Xenopus tropicalis: one gene and its partners. The main gene of each other region encodes a partner of the protein of the gene in region 5 in a complex. Links are inferred from orthologs where the notes say so. Each region holds a gene or a part of one and is shown on either strand. Other genes may lie near its edges. The genes, in order: cftr, casp2, hdac4, camkk2 and ywhag.

The links.
Region 1: the proteins of ywhag (region 5) and cftr are in contact, whole or in part, in a crystal structure (PDB 5D3E), measured with the Homo sapiens proteins. The link is inferred for Xenopus tropicalis from reciprocal best matches to the Homo sapiens genes YWHAG and CFTR. Residues at the interface, in NP_036611.2 of Homo sapiens: Lys50, Arg57, Arg61, Lys125, Arg132, Tyr133, Leu177, Asn178, Val181, Glu185, Ile222, Leu225, Asn229, Leu232; in NP_000483.3 of Homo sapiens: Arg766, Gln767, Ser768, Val769, Leu770.
Region 2: the proteins of ywhag (region 5) and casp2 are in contact, whole or in part, in a crystal structure (PDB 6S9K), measured with the Homo sapiens proteins. The link is inferred for Xenopus tropicalis from reciprocal best matches to the Homo sapiens genes YWHAG and CASP2. Residues at the interface, in NP_036611.2 of Homo sapiens: Glu15, Asn43, Val47, Arg57, Arg61, Lys125, Arg132, Tyr133, Pro170, Gly174, Leu177, Asn178, Val181, Glu185, Glu213, Asp214, Lys217, Asp218, Leu221, Ile222, Leu225, Asn229, Leu232, Trp233; in NP_116764.2 of Homo sapiens: Asp137, Leu138, Ser139, Leu140, Pro141, Phe142, Pro143, Val144, Cys145, Glu146, Leu150, Lys152, Lys153, Leu154, Ser157.
Region 3: the proteins of ywhag (region 5) and hdac4 are in contact, whole or in part, in a crystal structure (PDB 3UZD), measured with the Homo sapiens proteins. The link is inferred for Xenopus tropicalis from reciprocal best matches to the Homo sapiens genes YWHAG and HDAC4. Residues at the interface, in NP_036611.2 of Homo sapiens: Asn43, Leu44, Ser46, Val47, Lys50, Asn51, Arg57, Phe122, Lys125, Arg132, Tyr133, Gly174, Leu177, Asn178, Val181, Glu185, Leu221, Ile222, Leu225, Asn229, Trp233; in NP_001365345.1 of Homo sapiens: Ser348, Pro349, Ser350, Leu351, Pro352, Asn353, Ile354, Leu356.
Region 4: the proteins of ywhag (region 5) and camkk2 are in contact, whole or in part, in a crystal structure (PDB 6Y6B), measured with the Homo sapiens proteins. The link is inferred for Xenopus tropicalis from reciprocal best matches to the Homo sapiens genes YWHAG and CAMKK2. Residues at the interface, in NP_036611.2 of Homo sapiens: Ser46, Val47, Lys50, Asn51, Arg57, Arg132, Tyr133, Gly174, Leu177, Asn178, Val181, Glu185, Ile222, Leu225, Asn229, Trp233; in NP_001257414.1 of Homo sapiens: Leu99, Ser100, Leu101, Gln102, Glu103, Arg104.

The regions. Positions count from the first base shown.
Region 1 is NC_030679.2:68,496,961-68,501,443, reverse strand, and holds the start of cftr (cystic fibrosis transmembrane conductance regulator), read right to left. Parts: upstream 2,854-4,483; 5' UTR 2,708-2,853; coding exon 2,655-2,707; intron 1-2,654. UniProt on the Homo sapiens protein: Epithelial ion channel that plays an important role in the regulation of epithelial ion and water transport and fluid homeostasis. Mediates the transport of chloride ions across the cell membrane.
Region 2 is NC_030683.2:7,293,732-7,296,672, forward strand, and holds the end of casp2 (caspase-2), read right to left. Parts: intron 2,696-2,941; coding exon 2,549-2,695; intron 2,461-2,548; coding exon 2,351-2,460; intron 2,212-2,350; coding exon 2,077-2,211; 3' UTR 884-2,076; downstream 1-883. UniProt on the Homo sapiens protein: Is a regulator of the cascade of caspases responsible for apoptosis execution. Might function by either activating some proteins required for cell death or inactivating proteins necessary for cell survival.
Region 3 is NC_030685.2:60,780,513-60,784,406, reverse strand, and holds part of hdac4 (histone deacetylase 4), read left to right. Parts: intron 1-939; coding exon 940-1,188; intron 1,189-1,380; coding exon 1,381-1,567; intron 1,568-1,657; coding exon 1,658-1,791; intron 1,792-2,436; coding exon 2,437-2,542; intron 2,543-3,894. UniProt on the Homo sapiens protein: Responsible for the deacetylation of lysine residues on the N-terminal part of the core histones (H2A, H2B, H3 and H4).
Region 4 is NC_030677.2:162,455,369-162,459,262, reverse strand, and holds part of camkk2 (calcium/calmodulin-dependent protein kinase kinase 2), read right to left. Parts: intron 3,567-3,894; coding exon 3,367-3,566; intron 1,397-3,366; coding exon 1,343-1,396; intron 409-1,342; coding exon 335-408; intron 30-334; coding exon 1-29. UniProt on the Homo sapiens protein: Calcium/calmodulin-dependent protein kinase belonging to a proposed calcium-triggered signaling cascade involved in a number of cellular processes. Isoform 1, isoform 2 and isoform 3 phosphorylate CAMK1 and CAMK4. Isoform 3 phosphorylates CAMK1D.
Region 5 is NC_030678.2:94,295,071-94,299,594, forward strand, and holds the start of ywhag (14-3-3 protein gamma), read right to left. Parts: upstream 2,902-4,524; 5' UTR 2,762-2,901; coding exon 2,675-2,761; intron 1-2,674. UniProt on the Homo sapiens protein: Adapter protein implicated in the regulation of a large spectrum of both general and specialized signaling pathways. Binds to a large number of partners, usually by recognition of a phosphoserine or phosphothreonine motif.

The DNA of each region.
Region 1 (4,483 bases), on a different chromosome or scaffold from region 5:
TTTCATACTTTAATTAATGGATATCAATACCTGGAAATACAATGTTGCCACACAGTAGAGTCACCATCTGAGGTGTTTTTAAAATAATAATCATAAAAATACTTCAGCTTGTTTGAAACGCAAGGGATACATTTCTTATGGTAGGAATGATGCAATATGAAAGCATGTGTATTTCTAGATCTGTAAACACTTTCTGGGTCAATAAAAAAAACTAAATTGTACATAACAAGTGTCTATTGGTCTGATGTTAATTTGATTATCACAAGGGTAATGATTAGCCTGGTCTATTAGCCTATTGAAGATGGTGGCCCCTGGGCAAGTAAACTCCCAGTATATGATTCTGTAACAATCAGGCTTTATAAGATGTAAGAAAGCATGATATATACATTGATACACCTCTCTTAGCCATTGCTCTGTGAAAGGGATTTGAGTCAACATTGGTTATTGGAATTTTTTAGGAGTCTACTCTTATAGAGACTTTGTTAGTAAAACACATGTTGAATTGCATTTACATTTTTCACAGTGCACTTTCTTTGTAAATAAGCCCTAATGGGCCACATGGAGAAAGGGGATTGAATTTACAAACTGGTTGTGACTAGGGGTATAGGACAACAAATTCTGCATTGGGGCCAATGTGCCTTTCATTACAACAATGCTATTAGTTTTTGTTTCTTACTCTCAGTTAACTGCTATGCTCCTTTATTGCCTAATAGCCTATGGCTATGTCTATGTAGTATGCACCGCTGTTTACAAATCACGCAAACTACAGTTTAACAAACAGACATAAACAGCTTGCTGCAATTGTCTTTTTATTTTGTATTTCAACAGCTTCAGTGACAAATGACCTTTTAGTCCATTTCCAAATATTTGTTGGCCTAAAATGATTTGCATTGACACTCAATTTTCTATATAATTCTAATTTATCTTAATAATTTTGCTGGATGTCATTTCTTTTTATAAAATGTTACTCTGCATACACACCCACATACACATGGTTGAATGAAATTAGAATAGGTGTCCCATTTAGCTGGCTCTGATGAATTTTGTAAAAGGTTAAACTGGCAGATTTTTAGGTAAATATGCAGAAAAAAATGGAGCACTAAAAATACAATTCCACAAAATCTGAGTTATTTCATGTAACTCGTGGAGTTAGAAATATAAGATCAAAATCAAAGTCCTTATTCCATTAAATGATAAGGTTATTCATTCTTTGCTTCAAATATGGTCACACAATAAACATCATAAGGCAGGTCTGTGCTATTTTGGTATTAAGCTTCCTTGTTTAAAGGTGATGTGTGGTAAGGCTAAGCACACCTGTTGTCCTCTGAAAATTCCAATTTCGCAAGCCAAGGCAAATGCACATAAAGGATTTTTGAGCCCAAATCCCATAACAATCAGAACAGCACAACTAATACAAGGACATGAATAAATCCAGCTGCCTGTTATGAAAATAAACTACCAGGATGGATAGAAATAATAAAGCCACTGTTATGGGACACACAAATCTTTAGCAATACCCTATCATACAATGAATTCTATTCAAATACTGGAATAACAGTGCACCTACACTGTTTTTTGCTAACAGCTCCTGCTGCTTGACCCCTGCAGTCACTATTTGATTAAATAACAAGATTATCCTTTCAGCCATGTTAATATTACAATGTGCCTTGCCTGTAAAAAATTTTGAGACATTTTAGTAGATGAGTAACAAGATTCCTGCTAACATGCTTTGTAAAACACATAGGTATATCTAGTAGCATGTCAGAGAACGACGCAGAATGTGTTCTTCAATACAGTACGTTTTATGCCTTGAAGTGCTGCTTACAATCTTTTATGTTATGGTGCATGCTATAAAAACCACCCAAAGCTAATCAAAAAACCATTTAGTGGTAGTTAACCTTAAAATTAACTTTTATATGGCATAGATAACAGTAATCTAAGGCAATTTGCAACTGGTATTCATAGATTTTTAATTATTTAAATATTTGGTTCTTCAACTTTTAATTGCCTGCTAGGGGTTAATATACTTAGCAACCAAAGTGAAGTTTTGAAATCAAAATGGAAAATGACAAAGTGATGGTCTAAACACAAAAGTAAGCAATATAGTTGCTGAGGTCAGTGACCCTGATAATCAGATTGTATTTTCAAATGGAGGCTAAGCCAAAAGGTTAGCTAGAATAGCAAATGTAATAATTAAAAAAACAATACTGAAGATCCTTTGAATCCACACAAAAAGTCAACGTAAAATTAACTTTCCCTTTGTAATGCAAACAGACGTAAACTGGTTGGGGCTACTGTAAGTGTGAAAGATAGGGTATATTACTGACAATTGTCTTGTAGTCATCTTTAGCTAATACAAGCAGTGCAGAAATATTTGCCATTGGATCTGTATTTGTGCAGGCTAAATGAAGCAAGTACAAGCAGTAAAAGTCCAAAATGCCAGCAACTGATTTATTAATCAGAGTGTTTGTTTTTTGTCCAGGGTAATAAAGATACTGCTAAATCAGGATCCTGAATGTAGAAGCTTTGAATGTTCCTGGCCTAAACTCATCAGCACCATACCATGGCACTGCACCCCACCAGAGTTAGAATGTCTCTGCCATTATTCTCTGTGCCAGTCAGTAACAGGTTAGCACAGGTATGAAGGAACTTACCTAAAGAAAATCTGTGAAAAGATGCTGGCTTTCTCCAGAGGGGATCTCTGCATGGTGACACAGTGCTGCCAGCTGCAGGCTTCTTGGCACAGTAATGTCACTCTGTCACCACTCTCGCACCTTATTCCCTCAGCCTGGTGAAGTCACTCCCTCCTTGACTCTGCCCAGGCACAGAGAGAGCCCAGCCTTTCATTCCTTCCTTCTGCTTTTCTCTCATTCTCCCTCTCCCCTCCCTTTCTCCGTTTAGGTAACAAAAAGGGGTGTGCTTGTGCTGCAAACAGAATGTGTTCTTTTAATAAGCTGAATTGTTTTCTCACAATCAGTACTGCTAAACCTCTATCATTAAGTGCATCGTATACAACATATTAAAAGCAATTCTGTACATACACAAGGAGTATATTATATATAATGTGCTCCTGCTGGCAGGATTTCTATATTTAAATAGATATCAGTTTTGTAGTCACCCCAGTGCTCCTGTCAGATGCTTCTCCCCTTCATGTGTAACAGAAATGCTGGCTATATCAACTTATTGAGAACATAAAGGTTGGGAGCACTAAGTACAGCAGGCTTGCAGCACTTCTATGCCGTGTTTGCCCCTGCCTTGTTTTTAATGTCACCAACATGAATTAACCCATGAATACTTAAGAAAACTGTCTCCCATCAGACCTTAGGGGAGTTGCAGACTTGTGTGCTGATGAAAGGTAGATCTGGTCTTTCCCTACTATTTTGGTCATTAACCTCTGGTGCTTGCACTTTATATTGCTTGAGCATAAGCAACAGTTACCTGCCCACAGAACTTATTAGTGAGGAGTATGACAATGTTCAGTATACAGAGCGAATCAAATCAGTCTCCTATGCAACCTATAAAAGTGTTGCTGCAAAAAACGTTACTTTAAGATGCAATGACCTTAGGAACGAACATAAAGGGTTTCCTGCTAAGCAATGCATTGTTACATAGTTATCTTTTACTGCACTATGCATTGCCCAGTTAATGAAGGAATGTGGGTTTGGATACTTTGGGCGAGATTACATTCCATGAGAAAGATTTATCTCTTTATTCTGTTCTAGTTTTCACCACAGAAAGAAAGGGAATTAAATTTGAAGGTAGTGTCATTCTATACAATTTTCCAATAGAATAAAAAACTGACATTTATTTTAAATGTAAACTTACAGAACATGCTAAGAATAGGGGGCTATAAGGCGTCAATTTTGCTTACTACTGACTGTTGTGAGCAAAGTACAATTTCAAGCACAATCGCCATGTCCCATAATGCCTTTTTTCCCAGAATTCCAGCATGGTTGCACACACCAGTAGATCTGACACAGCTGTGGCCAGTACATCAAAATTACTGCAATTACACTTAATTGCAAATCAGTCTCAATTGCACCAGGGCCTGGTTGATGTAGTTTCTGGTGTTAGGTGTGGGAATGACATGTGTGTCCTATTCTTTAGGCACAGATTGCACAAAAAATAATGGACATTGGGTGCTCCAATAATTTGCTTTTTACATTTTTTGTTAAACATTGGAGCCAATAAATGGTTGTTTGTTTCACTGTCACATTTGTTGATTATTTAGGCAGATTCTCTGCTCCCATTGACGCAGGGTGCTTAGGAAACCCTGGAGCTACTGACTGGTCTGGAGGTGACAGTAAGTAGCAGTGGAGGTGGCAGTAGCTCCAGGATTCCCTTGCATCAGTAGATGCAAATTCAAAACATGAGGCATGAAAGACTTGGCAGCACTTAGCGCAACTAAAAAGTGCTAGGAGTGCATGCTGTTTAGTGTTTTACGAGCAGCTGACTGTGGGAAAACTGAAGGACCACAACCGAA
Region 2 (2,941 bases), on a different chromosome or scaffold from region 5:
AGTTCAGAGAGGAGTTACCAGCATATTAACAGAAACCAAGAGCCAAACTGAAGGAACTCAGTAAAGGAGAATGGTGGAGGGACAAACGGTCCCCATTCACCTTAAGATCGAGCGAGCGGATCGTCTTCCGATATCCCCCACCTACAGATGGGAGATATCGGGAGAATCAAGGCTAATTCGATTGTTTGGCCCTGGGGCCAAACGATCGAATTATAATGACGGGTATAGGAAAAGTTGGTCTGGGGACCGCATCAACGAGCCGATGGGGTCCCCAATCAAACGATTTTTTTAAACTGCCAATTTCAGGCCAGATATCGGTTGGGCAGGCCTGTCGGTAGTGCCCATACACGGGCCGGTTAGCTGCCAAATTGGTTTAAGGGACCAATTTCGGCAGCAAAAATTGGCCCGTCTATGGGGACCTAAAGAGATCGGAAACAATTTCACAAAAGAGAGAATACAAGTTCAAATCAGGAGGCCCAGTTTAAGCAAATACATTCTGTATCAAAAAGCCATAATTTCTTATAGGGTCACAGTGACTTTCCTAACAAAATGTCGACAAGGAAAACCACTGTTCTTGAGCGGGCAGTCAGTGCCATCCCATGAATGGCCATCTTAGGGCATGCAGAAATACAATCAATGACCAATCATACATTGATCTGATGAGGTGACTTCCTTCAGAGACAGTTTGGGTTCACAAATCAGTAAAACAAGAACCAGCAATGCCCCGCAGAGCACTCTCTAAGTGGGATTTGTGAATTCACTTTTACGCATGATATACCATGCAACTAAAGCATACAGAACTGAGCAGTAATGAGACAGTTGAAAGAACAACCATACCAGTCTTGTAGTACTAAAAATGTAGAAAGAGAAAGGAAAAAAACACTTAAATCATAAAATAGAGGTTTATTGAAGTGCTGGCCTTCCATGGTATAATGGCGAGACACTCTACTGCAACAGGTCCCGCAGTGCTACGACAGAGTGATTGGCCAAGTATAAAATTTACAGTACGTGGCAGTGACAAATAACGAGACAGACCTGAGAGAGAGTCAAAGTGCAGCAAAATCATGATACTGGCAGGACGTCGGGCAGTTACAATACACAGAGAAACGTAGGGGTGTCCCAAAAGTTCTTCAGGAGTCTACCTCCTGGAGTATTATACTGCCATAGGAAATGGATCTTTGAAAATTACAGAATACACACGGCTGACATTAGGTTGAGTGGATCCTTGTTTAAAAAAACAAACAAACCACTGGCTTGATCTGAAGGGATCCTGGAACAGAAGAAATCCTCTGGATTAGAGAATACACATCTCCGGCTTTGGGCTGAGGGGATCTTGGGATAGCGGAATACATGCCTCCAGCTTTGGGCTGAGGGGATCTTGGGATAGCAGAATACATGCCTCTAGCTTTGGGCTGAGGGGATCTTGGGATAGCGGAATACACACCTCCGGCTTTGGGCTGAGGGGGTCTTGGGATAGCGGAATACATGCCTCTAGCTTAGGGCTGAGGGGATCTTGGGATAGCGGAATACACGCCTCTAGCTTTGGGCTGAGGGGATCTTGGGATAGCGGAATACACGCCTCTAGCTTTGGGCTGAGGGGTTCTTGGGATAGCGGAATACATGCCTCTAGCTTTGGGCTGAGGGGATCTTGGGATAGCGGAATACATGCCTCTAGCTTTGGGCTGAGGGGATCTTGGGATAGCGGAATACATGCCTCTAGCTTTGGGCTGAGGGGATCTTGGGATAACAAAATACACATCTCTGGCTCTCGGCTGAAGCAATATAAAAAAAACATTATACCCACTGCTGGGTTTTGGCTGAACGGATCTCAGGCAGTGGCTTTATCTTACTTATAATATGGTCCAAAATACAGTCTTTGGAATGGAAAGACATCTTGTTCAGGCAAACGTCTGCAACACCAGAAACGGTAAGGAATTTTAAAAAAGTAAAATGATCACAAATATGGAAGACGAGCAAAAAACATGTAAATCTTCTGTAAAAATAAACCATTTATATTACATTAAAAAAAAATGTACAAAAGAAGTGGCTGGTTCCTGGGCAGTAATGCCGGGGGAATCACTTGGGGGGCCCAATGCCAGGGAAGAGATACAGGTCACGGCACAATGTGCTGCAATATTCTGACATCTCTTTGCACCGGTGGAACTCAGTGCCGGGAGCATGCCCCTCGCGCTCCTTTATAAGTGCATTCACCTGAAATGAGACATATCAGTGAGAGCCTAGAACAGGAAGGTGCCTTCTGAACCAAAATTTTCATTGGCAATTTTAGATCAACAACATCTGAAGTGCCACAAAGCATGTGGGCCTTGCTACAAATGAAGCCAATACACACCTTGACCAACATGTCGGCTACATGAGTGTTTTTGGAGTACTGGGAGAACACAGAGACGAGATCCTGCACAAACCAGGAACCTCGCTTGGTGTTACGCAAGGACACGGTGCCTGGGGAAATAAATGAAGAATAAGCAGTAGAGAAATACTATTAAACTGCAGGAGCCAGACAGGGGCCCCAGCACAAACAAGAATTTACCTTTGAGACAGGCATAGGCACAGATCATGTCTGACTGTGTGGGGAGCCGGACTTTTATGTCCTCCCTGCCGGCATCGCTCTGCTCGCAGCCTGGAGAAGCCGACTGCTCTCTCCCATCCCGCTGATCCACCCCACGGTCAGCCTCCTCTGGAACACAGAGATAGGAGTTGTAACAACAAGATTCCATGGGCACCAACCAAGTCCCATAATCCCAAGGATAGCTCCACTGTGGTCATTAGTCACAGTCTCATAGGTATTGGCCAGAACTGGGATAATGATCAATCGTTACAGAAGGCAGGAATCCAGGAGTCAGTTGCTATCTTAAACAAACAGAGGGAGCTTCTATGGCTGTTTACTCAGGTATGGTTATGCTTTCTGCAGAATAAATATACC
Region 3 (3,894 bases), on a different chromosome or scaffold from region 5:
CAGCATCAGGGAGAATTTAGATCCGTATAATGTAATAGTCATTTCACATAGCACACTCCATCAAATCATTATCATATGACTTTGTTGTTGATGTTATATATGGACCATTATCTTATCAGTTGCCGCTTGTTCTGTTGCACTTAATGCCTGGTATTGTCTGTGTGGGTTGAATTACTGCATCACTCCACTTAGGTCACTTATGACTCATTTCCATGAAGTCAACAAAAACCACAGGCATTCTGTTGGGACTTCATATCATTATAATTGTTATCAAGTATCACTGTACAGCAGAAGGGTATATACATCAAACATACTAATTACATACACATACTGACTGAAACAGTGGGAGGTAATGCGTGCTCTGCTCATTAGAGTTTTCAGTGTAATTTTAGCAGCTGTGTTTACATGTAGTACACCACATTCACTGTATTCTTCTATCTTCTATCTCTATTTTTTTTAATGGGTTGGGTTATTAAAATAAAAACTAAGTTGCATGTTGTTGAGGTGCTTAAAAAAAGTGTGTGTCTCTCTTTTATGGATAAATGCATTTTATGGTAGTCAAGTGCCTGCTTTGAGCCTGGCTCTGCAAACGTAGTTTCCATTTTTTAACCTCATAGTAACATAGTAACATAGTAAGTTGGGTTGAAAAAAGACATACGTCCATCAAGTTCAACCATAATGCCTATATATAACCTGCCTAACTACTAGAGGAGTAATTAAAATTTAAATTGGTAGGGCCATTGTAAATACAGCTATCTTTTCTTCCCAATTCTTGTCCTTTAACGTTGGATTTTTAACTTTTTTCCCATAAACTTCTGCTTTAGATTGTTGCTTATTGTACTATACTTTTTATTGATGATTTCTGTATATTCTTGAAACCTTGCTCCTACTGACCAGTCACTTTTGTTGCTAAGCCATTTTTCATTTTACCCAATTTAGATGATTCCTAAAGTGAATGAAGCCTCGCGGCAGCATGAGAGCCACCCCGAGGAGACTGAGGAGGAGTTACGCGAGCATCAGGCACTACACGAGGAACCTTATGCAGAGCGTTTAGCTGAACAAAAGGAACTAAGCCCTGGCAGTGTGGTGCATGTAAAGCAGGAGAAAGAGGAAAGCGATGATGAAGACAATACACTGGAATTGGAACGGAGTAAAATGCAATCTGACCCAGACCTGCTGTTTAGACAGGTATGTTTTTGCCACCTCAGAACTGCTATACGTAATTTTATGTGCATTATCTCAACATAATATCAATAATCAATGGATTTTATAATGAGGATATGTAGTGTCTTACTTTACCTTAAGTAGAATCTTTTTTTCAATCTTAAATCAAAGACCACTTTGTTTTAGAGGTAAGAAGTCCTCTTTCTTTCATTTCAGCAAACATTATTACTGGAGCAACAGCGCATTCATCAACTGAGAAACTATCAGGCTTCCCTAGAGGCTGCAGGCTTAGTTGTGCCATTCAGTGGGCATCGGCCTCTCTCAAGAGCGCAGTCCTCACCTGCCTCTGCGTCATTTCCCATGTCTGTACAGGAGGCCCCCAGTAAACCCAGGTTCACCACAGGTACAGTTTTTGTGATATAATTTGTATAACTAAAGGGGAAGGTTAACTGCTTAATAAAGATTATGAATGTGACCTTTGAATATTCTACAGGCCTTGTGTATGATACATTGATGTTAAAACACCAGTGCATCTGTGGGAACACAAACAGCCATCCTGAGCATGCTGGCAGAATACAAAGTATTTGGTCAAGGCTTCAAGAAACTGGTTTACGTAGCATGTGTGAGGTGAGCAAGTAGCCATTCATTATAATGTATGCATTATTTCTATGCCTTTATATATTTATTAGGGTCCCCCACTGTTTTGCTCAAATTATTTTTTTTCCATAATATAAGTAAACAAGAAATTTTTACCACAGTCAAAATGTTATTAGACCACCATTTACTTTAATCACTGCTTGGATTATGTCTGGCATCACTTATTTAAGTTGTTGCAGAATTTTTATTATTCCAGCAGTCACAGGGCATGTCTCGTGATGCTACAATATGTTTTTTTCTTCTCAATTTTCATATGGTTTCAAAGATTTTGTTTTATTATTGTTTTAGCAGAAGTAGGTTTGACTCTGAATGGGAAATCTGGCCTGTTGGAAGATCTAAAGCATTAGGGCAAAGGCACACTAAGCATATTGACTTCTTTCTTCCGCAGACGGGGTTAAAAGCTAACTGTGCCCTTGCCCTAAGGCTGGGACAATACCCTACACTCCAATCAGTCTACCCCTATAACTGCACCTGAAGCCACAGCGTCAACCTAGGTGCAAGCACCAGGAGCAGATTTTGGCGCCAAAATGCATGTACTGTGTTTCAGTACTGAAATAAGCTCCGGGGATAATTGATAGTTCTTCTCACTTGGATCTATTCCGTCTTTCACCACAGTGTATTCGGGGCAGAAAGGCAACCCTGGAAGAATTGCAGACTGTGCATTCTGAGGCTCACACTCTCTTATACGGCACCAATCCCTTGAACCGTCAGAAGCTTGAAGGTAAGACCCTGCCTAATCTGGTTTTTGCGTTTTCAGCCAGACTTCCTGTCTGCTCCGCTGTGTGTGCCTGCAAGCGAGCAAGTGCTGTGTAGATCAGTGGAGTGGCATACAGGATTAGACCCTCTTCTCTCAGGCTGAAAAAAAAACCCAGGCTCAAAGCAGCAGAGCCAGCGCTTCATGGAGCCTTACCCTAAGGGCAAGGGTACATAAGGATATTTGTCACCCACTGCACAAACAAAGCTTCTGAAAATACCTGTCCATTAATTAACAGTGGGATTACTGCATGTAATGCAGTGCTGTTGCGGGCGTGTGCCTTCTCCATTTTTCCGCAACCAATCTCCTAAAATTACCTCTCAGTTAACTAACATTGGGATCACGCATTTAAAAGTTTGCATACAGTGATCTTAGTTGATGGAGAGGTATTTTTAGGAGGTTGGTAGCCCATGTGTAATGCTGATTTCCTGTTCCCCTGTACCATCACCCTAAGAACAGGAAAAGTGTACCTACCAGGTGCCTTGAGGAAATCTAGTATATCTGGTGTGCATTCTTTAATAAATAGCCCTATGGTAGCATCTAAAATATTAGGGCAACCAGAAAATACAAAGAGCCATGCTATCTTCTATTTAGTGCCTTATTATCTTGTTCTTGGTTGCCGTGTTCCTTAAAGTGGCCATAAACCGGCAGATTTCAGCTTACCTACCGCTGGTCCCCCAGATGGGCCTACCCAACCAACATCTGGCCTAAAATTGGACAGGTTTGATTTTCCTGTCGGATCGTGGACTGCATCGGCTTGTTGATGCGGTTCTGACAGCCCATATACCCACTGTTTTAACCATGCCAAACAAGGAATCTTAATGTGTATGGCCCCCTTTAGTGTCTGAGGGACAGCACAAAGTGTGCTCTAAAATTTTTCATTATATTGAATACAATAACAAGCAAAATATGAAGTATCCATATAAATCTCAATAACATGAACATATAAATTGCCAATAGAAATTATAATATTAAAGTATCTGTCATTACCAACATACATATATCTAAAACTAGATCTAGAATCTAAGATTATGCAGGATCACGTTGTATTAAGCCCTTTATGAAGTGTTGTGGTTTTAGAGTATGGCATAAATTCTCTCTTTTTCTCTAACTTGTAGTAGTTCCAGAAATATTTTCTATTTTGCCCAATATTCTTTACGCACCACTTAACTTTTTGTTCTGAAATCTGCCCCATGTGTTCAGCAATTGCATGCAAATAACTGCGTTTCTCCACCTCCAACCCTGAAATCATTATAAAAGCATCAAAACATAAGTAGATTGCATGGTTACATTTATTAAATATTTTAACCTGGTAAATT
Region 4 (3,894 bases), on a different chromosome or scaffold from region 5:
GGTCTTTTAGATCTTCTGAGATGTCATGCCTGCCAATAAAAAAGACAAGATGGGATTCAATTCTAGTATAAAAACCCACTAACTGGTAACTGTGGGTCCCATTTATGGGGCTACATAAAAGCTGCCAAACTTTTTATTATTAAAAAAAATACCTCAACTAACAAAGCTTTTGTAATGATGGCTGGCGTGAGTTCCTTAACTCACACTGGATTTCTTTTATAATTGCTGACCCAAAAGGCAAAAGCAATCATAAATATGCCCCCTTTTCTCTGGTTTAACCAAAAGTAGGGTTTAATTCAAAATCTCAGGATGCAAATAAGCAAAAAAGACTTACTGGTCAGGAAACTCCAGTGGCTGATTCTTTATTTTGCTGTGTAGAGCTAGAATCCTTTCATCCATAAATGGGCACTAAAGAATATACAAAAATTGGACCAGCGTCACTTACAAGGAAAGTAAAGTTATCTATCTATAGTTATCAAATCTATAAAAATATGTATTTATAGAAACAATTACTGCTCTGGCTTTTTTTTGTATAATAGAGGAGAAGGTTGAATAGATGGGTATCTTATATCAGAGTTGAGTTTATTAGTTACTGTGTAGTACAACCCATTAACAATGTGGTAACCTTTTAACTCCAAACACTTTTATGGAATGCTGGCTTTTAAAGTTGCCACCTGAGGCTTTAACCTCAATAACAGGACCCGCATGGCTCACCTACACTCGTTATACCTGACACTAGACACCCACATCTAAGTGGCTGGCATTCTTGGCAAGGCATACTTAACACTAAGGGGCACATTTACTAAAATTCCTTTTTTTCTGGTCTTGATGTCATATAAACTTGACATGGTATAAATTTGATTTAAACTCGATCATTGCTGTATTTATAAAATGTCACGATAATGCTTAAATCTTTCGAATGAAAATTTCGAGATTACATTCGAAAATCCATAATGTTTTGAATTGAAAGCATTGTTAAAACTCAAAAAATGTGCTTTAACCCGGGTGAAACTGAAAATGAGGGGATTAGATTTTCCTTGAATTGGTGAAACTGAAAAAATTGAGGGGATTAAGTTCCCCTTGGAAAGGGTGAAAATGAAAACAATGAGGGGATACAATGAGGGGAACTTAGCCCCTTGGAAAGGGTGAAACTGAAAACAATGAGGGGATTAAGTTCCCCTTGGAAAGGGTGAAACTGAAAACAATGAGGGGGTGTAAAATTCAACCTGAATAATAAAATGTTCTGCGTACTCTTCATACTAATGTACATACTGTATGTTTAAAGTGGAACCATAATATTTAGTATGTATGTATGGATTTGACATGGCGGAGGGTAAATTACCTGACCAAATACAAAACAATTCAGAGTCACACCCATTGCCCAAACATCCAGTGCCTAAAAAAGGGAAAAAAAAGATAGTGTTAATGAACCTGCAATGTGGAACTGTACATCTGTCACACACTGAGCTGATATAAGAGAATCCGGTACCCATGGTAACATCCCTACTTGCTGCCTACATGTGAACTCTCTGCGCATATTTAACACTTAGGTAGCAGTTGGTTAAGCTGTGGGTACGTACCTCACACAGGAAAAATACATTTGTTTTGTTTTTAAAGGCTACTTCCTTCTAAATCATAATCACCGCAAAGTGAGCAATGATCCAAAGATATGGTAGCCACTTTTCTTTGGGATCGGTGGAAAAAATATATATATTAGGCAATGTTGACTGGCACATAGGACACTGGGAAAAATGTGGGCACAGTTCAGGGGGCATTCTTCTACTTTATGATAGAGAGCGAGAGAAAGAAGCAGGTAAACAAGGTTATAATGTCTAGAGAAGTTGATTAAGAAAGAACAGAAATTAGGTCCTTAGCACCCTAGTCTGTCCCTGACTCTAGGAAAGTATCTGTTCCAAGAGCAGCCTTGCTTACGTATTTTCCATAAGCCTCTTACATATGGAATGACAAAAGGTGAATGGTTTGTGTACAGTTCTACAGAGGGGTGAAGCAAGCCAACAGTATCAGTCTCTGGAAGTTGCACTTTTTCTTATTAACATTAACAGTCTGCTAAAATATAGTTTTGCTCTTCCTTATTCTCTTCCATATTAGCATCAAAACTATGTTTAGAAGAATGCCATTAGTCTCAGATTTATGTCAAACAGTGGCAGAGAAATTCCTAACATCATAGGACAGAAATTTTAATGCAATCATTGTTAAAGGAATTAAAGAACATGTAAACCCTACATTTTCCTACCATGTATATAAGTTGGGTACATCTCCCCCACCCAAATAACAGCATTTGCATATATCCCCTCCGTTCCCCAGCACCATCACATTTTCCTAGAACAAAAATAGCAGCTTTCACCCAGCGCCCATTTTCCATACTTGGTCTTGGGAACAGGATAATACCTGTGTCACATGTCTGCTTTCCATATGCTGTCTCTGGAATGTTGTATTGATTCTATCTGGTCTTTGTGCATTGCCTTTGCTTTATTATACAGTTACAGTATTTCTATCTACTAGTATGGTTTTAAAAGGTGAAGAAAGAAGGAGCTAAGCCCATTCTGTCAGTGAAAACTGTGGACTGGAGATCCAGAATTGTGTCCCCATGTTTTTTAAGTCGACTCCCCAAGATCATCTTTAATAATATCAAATTTCGTCCTATATTATATTAGAAAAAGGTGCATGACTGATTCTAAAAAAGATTTTGGGTCTCACAGAAACACTGCTGAAGGAAAAGATGTCTGAGGGTAGAGGATAGAGTAAAGAGACAATTCTCCTGTAAAAAGAGTTATGTGCAGAGTGATCCCCAACAACTGTCAGAGAGAACTAGATATAATAGTTACTTGTTCTCCATTGTGATAAATAAAAGCAAGCCCAGTTTCTACTGAACTTGTTGTGCCTAAAGCACTGAAGCTTTTGGCACCCAGCGCAGCGCCCTTTTGCAAACTGCGCACCAGATACACCATAAAATGTCCCCAGCTTGTAGACTTGTGCATAGGTTTGTGTGGGGTGGCATCTACATCTTCAGACTCTGATGCATTTATCTGAAACAGTATGTCAAAGCACTTACAGATCAATATACATATTTCATGCCTTCACTGCAGAAAGAGGGCAGCGTATGAACAGCATTTTGTAAGCCATGGTGCTTTAATCCCATCTATATCTGTAAAGTTGGTGTTAACAGCAAGACGTATCCTAGCAATGAAGCGTCAGTGGAGGTGTACCACAGGGTATCAAAAACAGCAAGCAAATAACCCAGTAAGCTCACATTTTAGACAGCTTAACTAGTAATTTAATAAAATTGCTTAAGAACAGACTGACATGTCATATTAGGGGAAACAAAAATCAAGCAGAGATTATTACCTTTCCTGAGAATATTTTGCGGGTTTCAGAGAGGGTTTCTGGAGCCATGAATGCAGGTGTTCCCACTGTGTTGGACAGAAAGGCATCGTTCCCTTCAAATGTATTACTGACACCAAAGTCAGCGATCTTAATGTGCCCATCCTCTCCCAGCAGGAGGTTAGATGGCTTGACGTCACGGTGTATAATCTTCTGATAATGCACTGTTGGGTTAACACATTTTTCTATTAACAGTAACTATCTTCTATTCAACAGTTAAGCTTATCTTTTGTTAATAACATTTAAACATTATTTACAGAATAAAAAGCATACTGCTCTTTTAAGAAGAATGTATGATGTATGATCCTACCAATGTTAAACTACAGCTCCTATCACTCCATAGACAGCTAAAAAATTAACATTATAGTTTAGTAGCATCTGACGAGCCATTATTAGCCTGTGCCTGCTCGGTACATTTTCATCTGATACATGATAGGACTCATTTATGGAGTGCAAAGGAGCCCTGGACTGGCAATCTGTTGATTTTGGCAA
Region 5 (4,524 bases):
TTTCAAAAGCCATCTGATAAAATATAACAAATCAATTACAGACATCAGTTACATGCCATTTGTTCCCCTGCTGCTAACAAACTTGAATATATGCAGATCTAACATAATTCGCTAAAATAAATTCACAAAATAAATTCACAAAGGGTAAAATGAAAAAAAAAATCAATACTAACATAATGTCAAAAAAAGAACATATATCCACAATACAAATACAGTGGAATATATACAATATATATTTGTTCTTCCATTATAACTAAGAGAAAGAGTGAGAGCTCGTTGGCAATATGGTGGAGATTCAGTGCCTGGAATCACTGAAAATCCCTACAATCAAGTATAAAAAATAAATAAAAAGGACTTTGCCATCCTTTTAAACAATTGCCTTTTTCCCCCCTCGATTCCCCTCCCTCCTTTAACCAGTCCAGCCTCTCTCTGCAATATGACAAATGCAGAATCTTCTGGAAGGGCTGGTACTGCCTCCCACTACTGCTTTGTTTCACAAAGATCACATCATAGGCCAGATTTTAACCCTGTCTTTCTACTTATTTCCTAAATATTTTTTTTAAATCATTTAAATACAAAATAAATTGATTTAATATAAAAGGAAAGCTCACAATGCCTGCATGTTTTCATATACCAGGTAATTCTGCATGAAAACAGAATATAGTCCTACATAAAAATAATTTTCTCTGTGAAACCTTAATTATGCATTATTTTATTGAAAAAATACCAGATTAACTACTACCAGCAATGTCCCCCCAAGCAGTTCTTTGGACTGTTGAACTACAAATATTAGCTAAAGGAAATGGGACCTGCATTTCAACAGCAGGAGGGCCACAAGTTTGACAATCCTGTTTTATGACCATTTTGTATTGGAATAAATACAAGGTGGCTGATGCCGGTTTTAAGATGAACACTACTAGGGATCGGATCCTGAGCCAGAATTCAAGTCTGCATGGAGGCTGTACACATTAATGGCAGGTGATAACATATGTTGGAATGCCCTAAGATGTATGCAATAAAGGCATTTTAAACAAGAAATACAAAAAAAACTATTTTTTGTCTGTATATGCCGATGAGAAGTGGCCATTGGAGAACCTGCACTAATCTAAAAGAAATCCAAGGTATTGTGCTGACTACTACTTGCAAATATGTTCAGATGATCAAAATGCCCCAATTTTGATCATTTAAACATATCCTATCACCTGCCTTTAATGTGTACAGCCTCCATGCAGACTTGAATTCTGGCACAGGACACAACTAGTTCTAGACAACTTCAGATAGAAAGTTAATTCATATTCCATCTTAGGACTTATAATTATGCGCACATGCCATAGTAACACTATGTCCCAAGTGTCATAACTACAGAAAATAACTGTAAGGATGAAGATAAGGGAGGGATGAAGGGCTATCCCAATTTTCTAATGTCTACTCCACAGGCCCCTTGTCTGACAATACAGAGAGGAAGCCCAACATGCATCTCTTCAGCAGTTGCTAAGCGTCACCACCCCTCCCTCCCAACAGCCAAAGTACATACATGTACACTTAGGCATTCCCCCCCCATAGAATTGCAATGGATTTATGGTGTTCCCTTTCTAGGGCCCAAGGGTAAATGCAGAAATAGCTGCTGCTACCATTAAAAGGTTTGTCTGCAGATGAGAAGTGTCTTTATAAGTCACAGATACCCTGTGTGAGCAGCAGCATTTATTTGACCTATAACTGAAATGATTTTACAACCAGGCCAGTGCAGTCCCACAGAAGCTGAGAGGATGCAAGTCTGACATCCCTGTCACAAGGTCTCCAAATGTTACCAGTAGCAGTAAGAATGCAGCAAATTAGGAGAATCTGGGAGGGGCCATGGGAAGATATTCCTGGGCAACCCCCTCACAGTTATCATCAAGGCAACACAATTCCATTGTGAATAAATGATGTTCTACATAGGCGTCTAATACATGCCATGCCTGGATACTGGGAAACAGCACAATGACAGGAAACACAACTATGCCTCAATACCTTTTATCCATTCTTAACCAAAACTACATTGTTGACTAATTGGACTATCCTAACATTACTGAACTACAAATCTCAGCATTACTTGATGTTCTCAGCTGGAGAGTCAGACTGTAGATGCCCGCTGCACACTAATGCTTCTAGGGAAATCCCTTACACTTTCCTAAAGCAGGAATGGGCAGCGTAGTCCAGCCAACAGTGGCATCCAGGTGGATAGTAAGTGATAGATCAACTGGAGGGCTGATAGATAAGTGACAGATCAGCTGGAGGGCTTATAGATCAGTTGGAGGGCTGATAGATAGATCAGCTGGAGGGCTGATAGATAGATCAGCTGGAGGGCTGATAGATCAGCTGGAGGGCTGATAGATAAGTGACATATCAGCTGGAGGGCCGCAGGTTGCGCATCCCTGCCTGGAAGTGCATGACTAAAGGTCAGCTGTTTGACAAGCGGTAAAAAGGAAAATGACAGGTTGCAATATCTATATCTATCCATCTATATACAATCGGTAAGCTTCCCTACATGCCCACCTCGGAACCACATGGAGATACACCTCTGCAGATGTGTCCATAGTACAAATGCATTGATCCCTTATCATAGTAATAAACTGATGAACAACTATGAGGTCGGCCACACACATTCCCTCCAGCTCTCAATCATCGCACTTACGGCTTTCATAGCAGCCGCCATATCATCATAGCGCTCAGCTTGCTCCGCCAGTCGGGCTTTCTGCACCAGCTGCTCGCGGTCCACCATGTTGCTGAGTGCGAGACCGTGCGAAGAGAACGTGCGGATGGGTTCGGGGCTTGCGACTCGCACTCGACTGCAGCGGAGACAGCGCAGAACAGATGCAGAGGCTGGACCAAGGCAAAGCCTCCTTAAATGTCAAATGCGTCTTTACAGCTATCTGCAAGTCTTCCTCCTCTCGCTGTCACCTACTAGCAAATAACGGCTGCTTGCCTATCTAGCTACTACCCAGTCTGTAGCACCTCCAGCGACTGCCTCACTCCAACTCCGCCTCCCAGCCTATTGACGTCACTTGGAATAAATATAAGTCCCGCCTACTTGGCGCCGTCACCCACCGTACAAGGGCAGCAGTTTGTGCTTCGATCACTAAAAGGTCTTGGTTGACTGCGGGGCGGTGGTTCCAGGCAGAAATAGTGCGGTACAGGGTGGCAGGGTAGATCCGCATGGTTTGATGGGAATCGTAGTTTTCTTAGGCATGCGGTACCGATGTGCATGTAGGGAAACGCCTTGAACAAAAGACTACGTCTCCCTCCTTGCTCTCCGGCTTCTAGTCGCTTATCGCCTGCAGTGATATTTGGGATATCTCCAATTTGATATTGTCAGTAGCTGCTAACTTGAGAGTTTAACGGTAACATTTATCATAATCTTGTTCCAAATGGGTGTTCTGTTTTGTTAAACGCTGAATGGTGTACCGGGAATCCAATAAATCTTCATAGTTCCATCAGCCTGACCTGACGTGATACTTGTCCTGTTACTCTTGGGTGCCTTGTAATATTCACACAGGTAGAGTCATTCCATTGTCAGAACAGTTCAGAATGTGATAGGCTCGGAGGCCTGCATTCTGGCTGGTACATGTTTACTTGGCACAAACTTTACCAACAGTTTAAAAGCTTAAACTTTACTGTCACACCCTGTGACTTGGAAAAGCCTTTATGGCATTTGAGTTAACTATACTTTTCTGATAAGTACTAATTGATGCTATGCACAGTTAGGGTTGCCACCTGGCCAGTATTTTGCCAGCCTGGACTGTAAAAATGATGGTCCATGCCAAGTTTATAAATAGAAAATTAGATTAAACTATAAGGAGGCGGGTATTTCTTCCCAGAAAGGTGGCAACACTATGCACAAATGAATACAATATCAGATTGTATACTATGGAACATTCCATCTGTTGTGACAGAGGCTTCTAAGCATCTGGGTGACTTCACAGTCTAAAGCGTTTCATCTGTTGCAACTGGAGGATGTTTCAACAAACAAAATGCTCCAGGCTGTGACATCCTCCCGGTGCCACCCTGCTGGGAGAACACGCTGCAGAGATGCCACCTGTTTACAATTCACAGATTGCTGAGAAGGGAGAGAAGACTGGTGCTCAGGATAGACTTTTTAGAAACAACATATATGTTAGAGCAATTTTAGTAAGAGTAGTTTTTTATTAAAATGTTTACACTATGTGGATTTTGCCTATAAACCACAGTTGATCAAATAAAGGAGCCTGTCTGGTTTTGAACCAGAGAGCCCAGTTTTTCAAGAGCAATCAGTTTCAAAACTTTCTATCCAGGGTTTTAATGTTCTGAAAACTGGGCAGAAATTATGCAATAACCCAGCATCAACATCACAGCATCATCCCCAATGTGCTAGCTCTGCCCAAACTTTATTGGCCTACCCTTTTGCCCAGTTTTAGCCCATGGCAAGGGTGGCAACCCAAGTCACACCTCCAGTTCTGCTGTGGCATCAGCCTTCTTTGATAACAAGCAGGACGAAATGTTAAACCT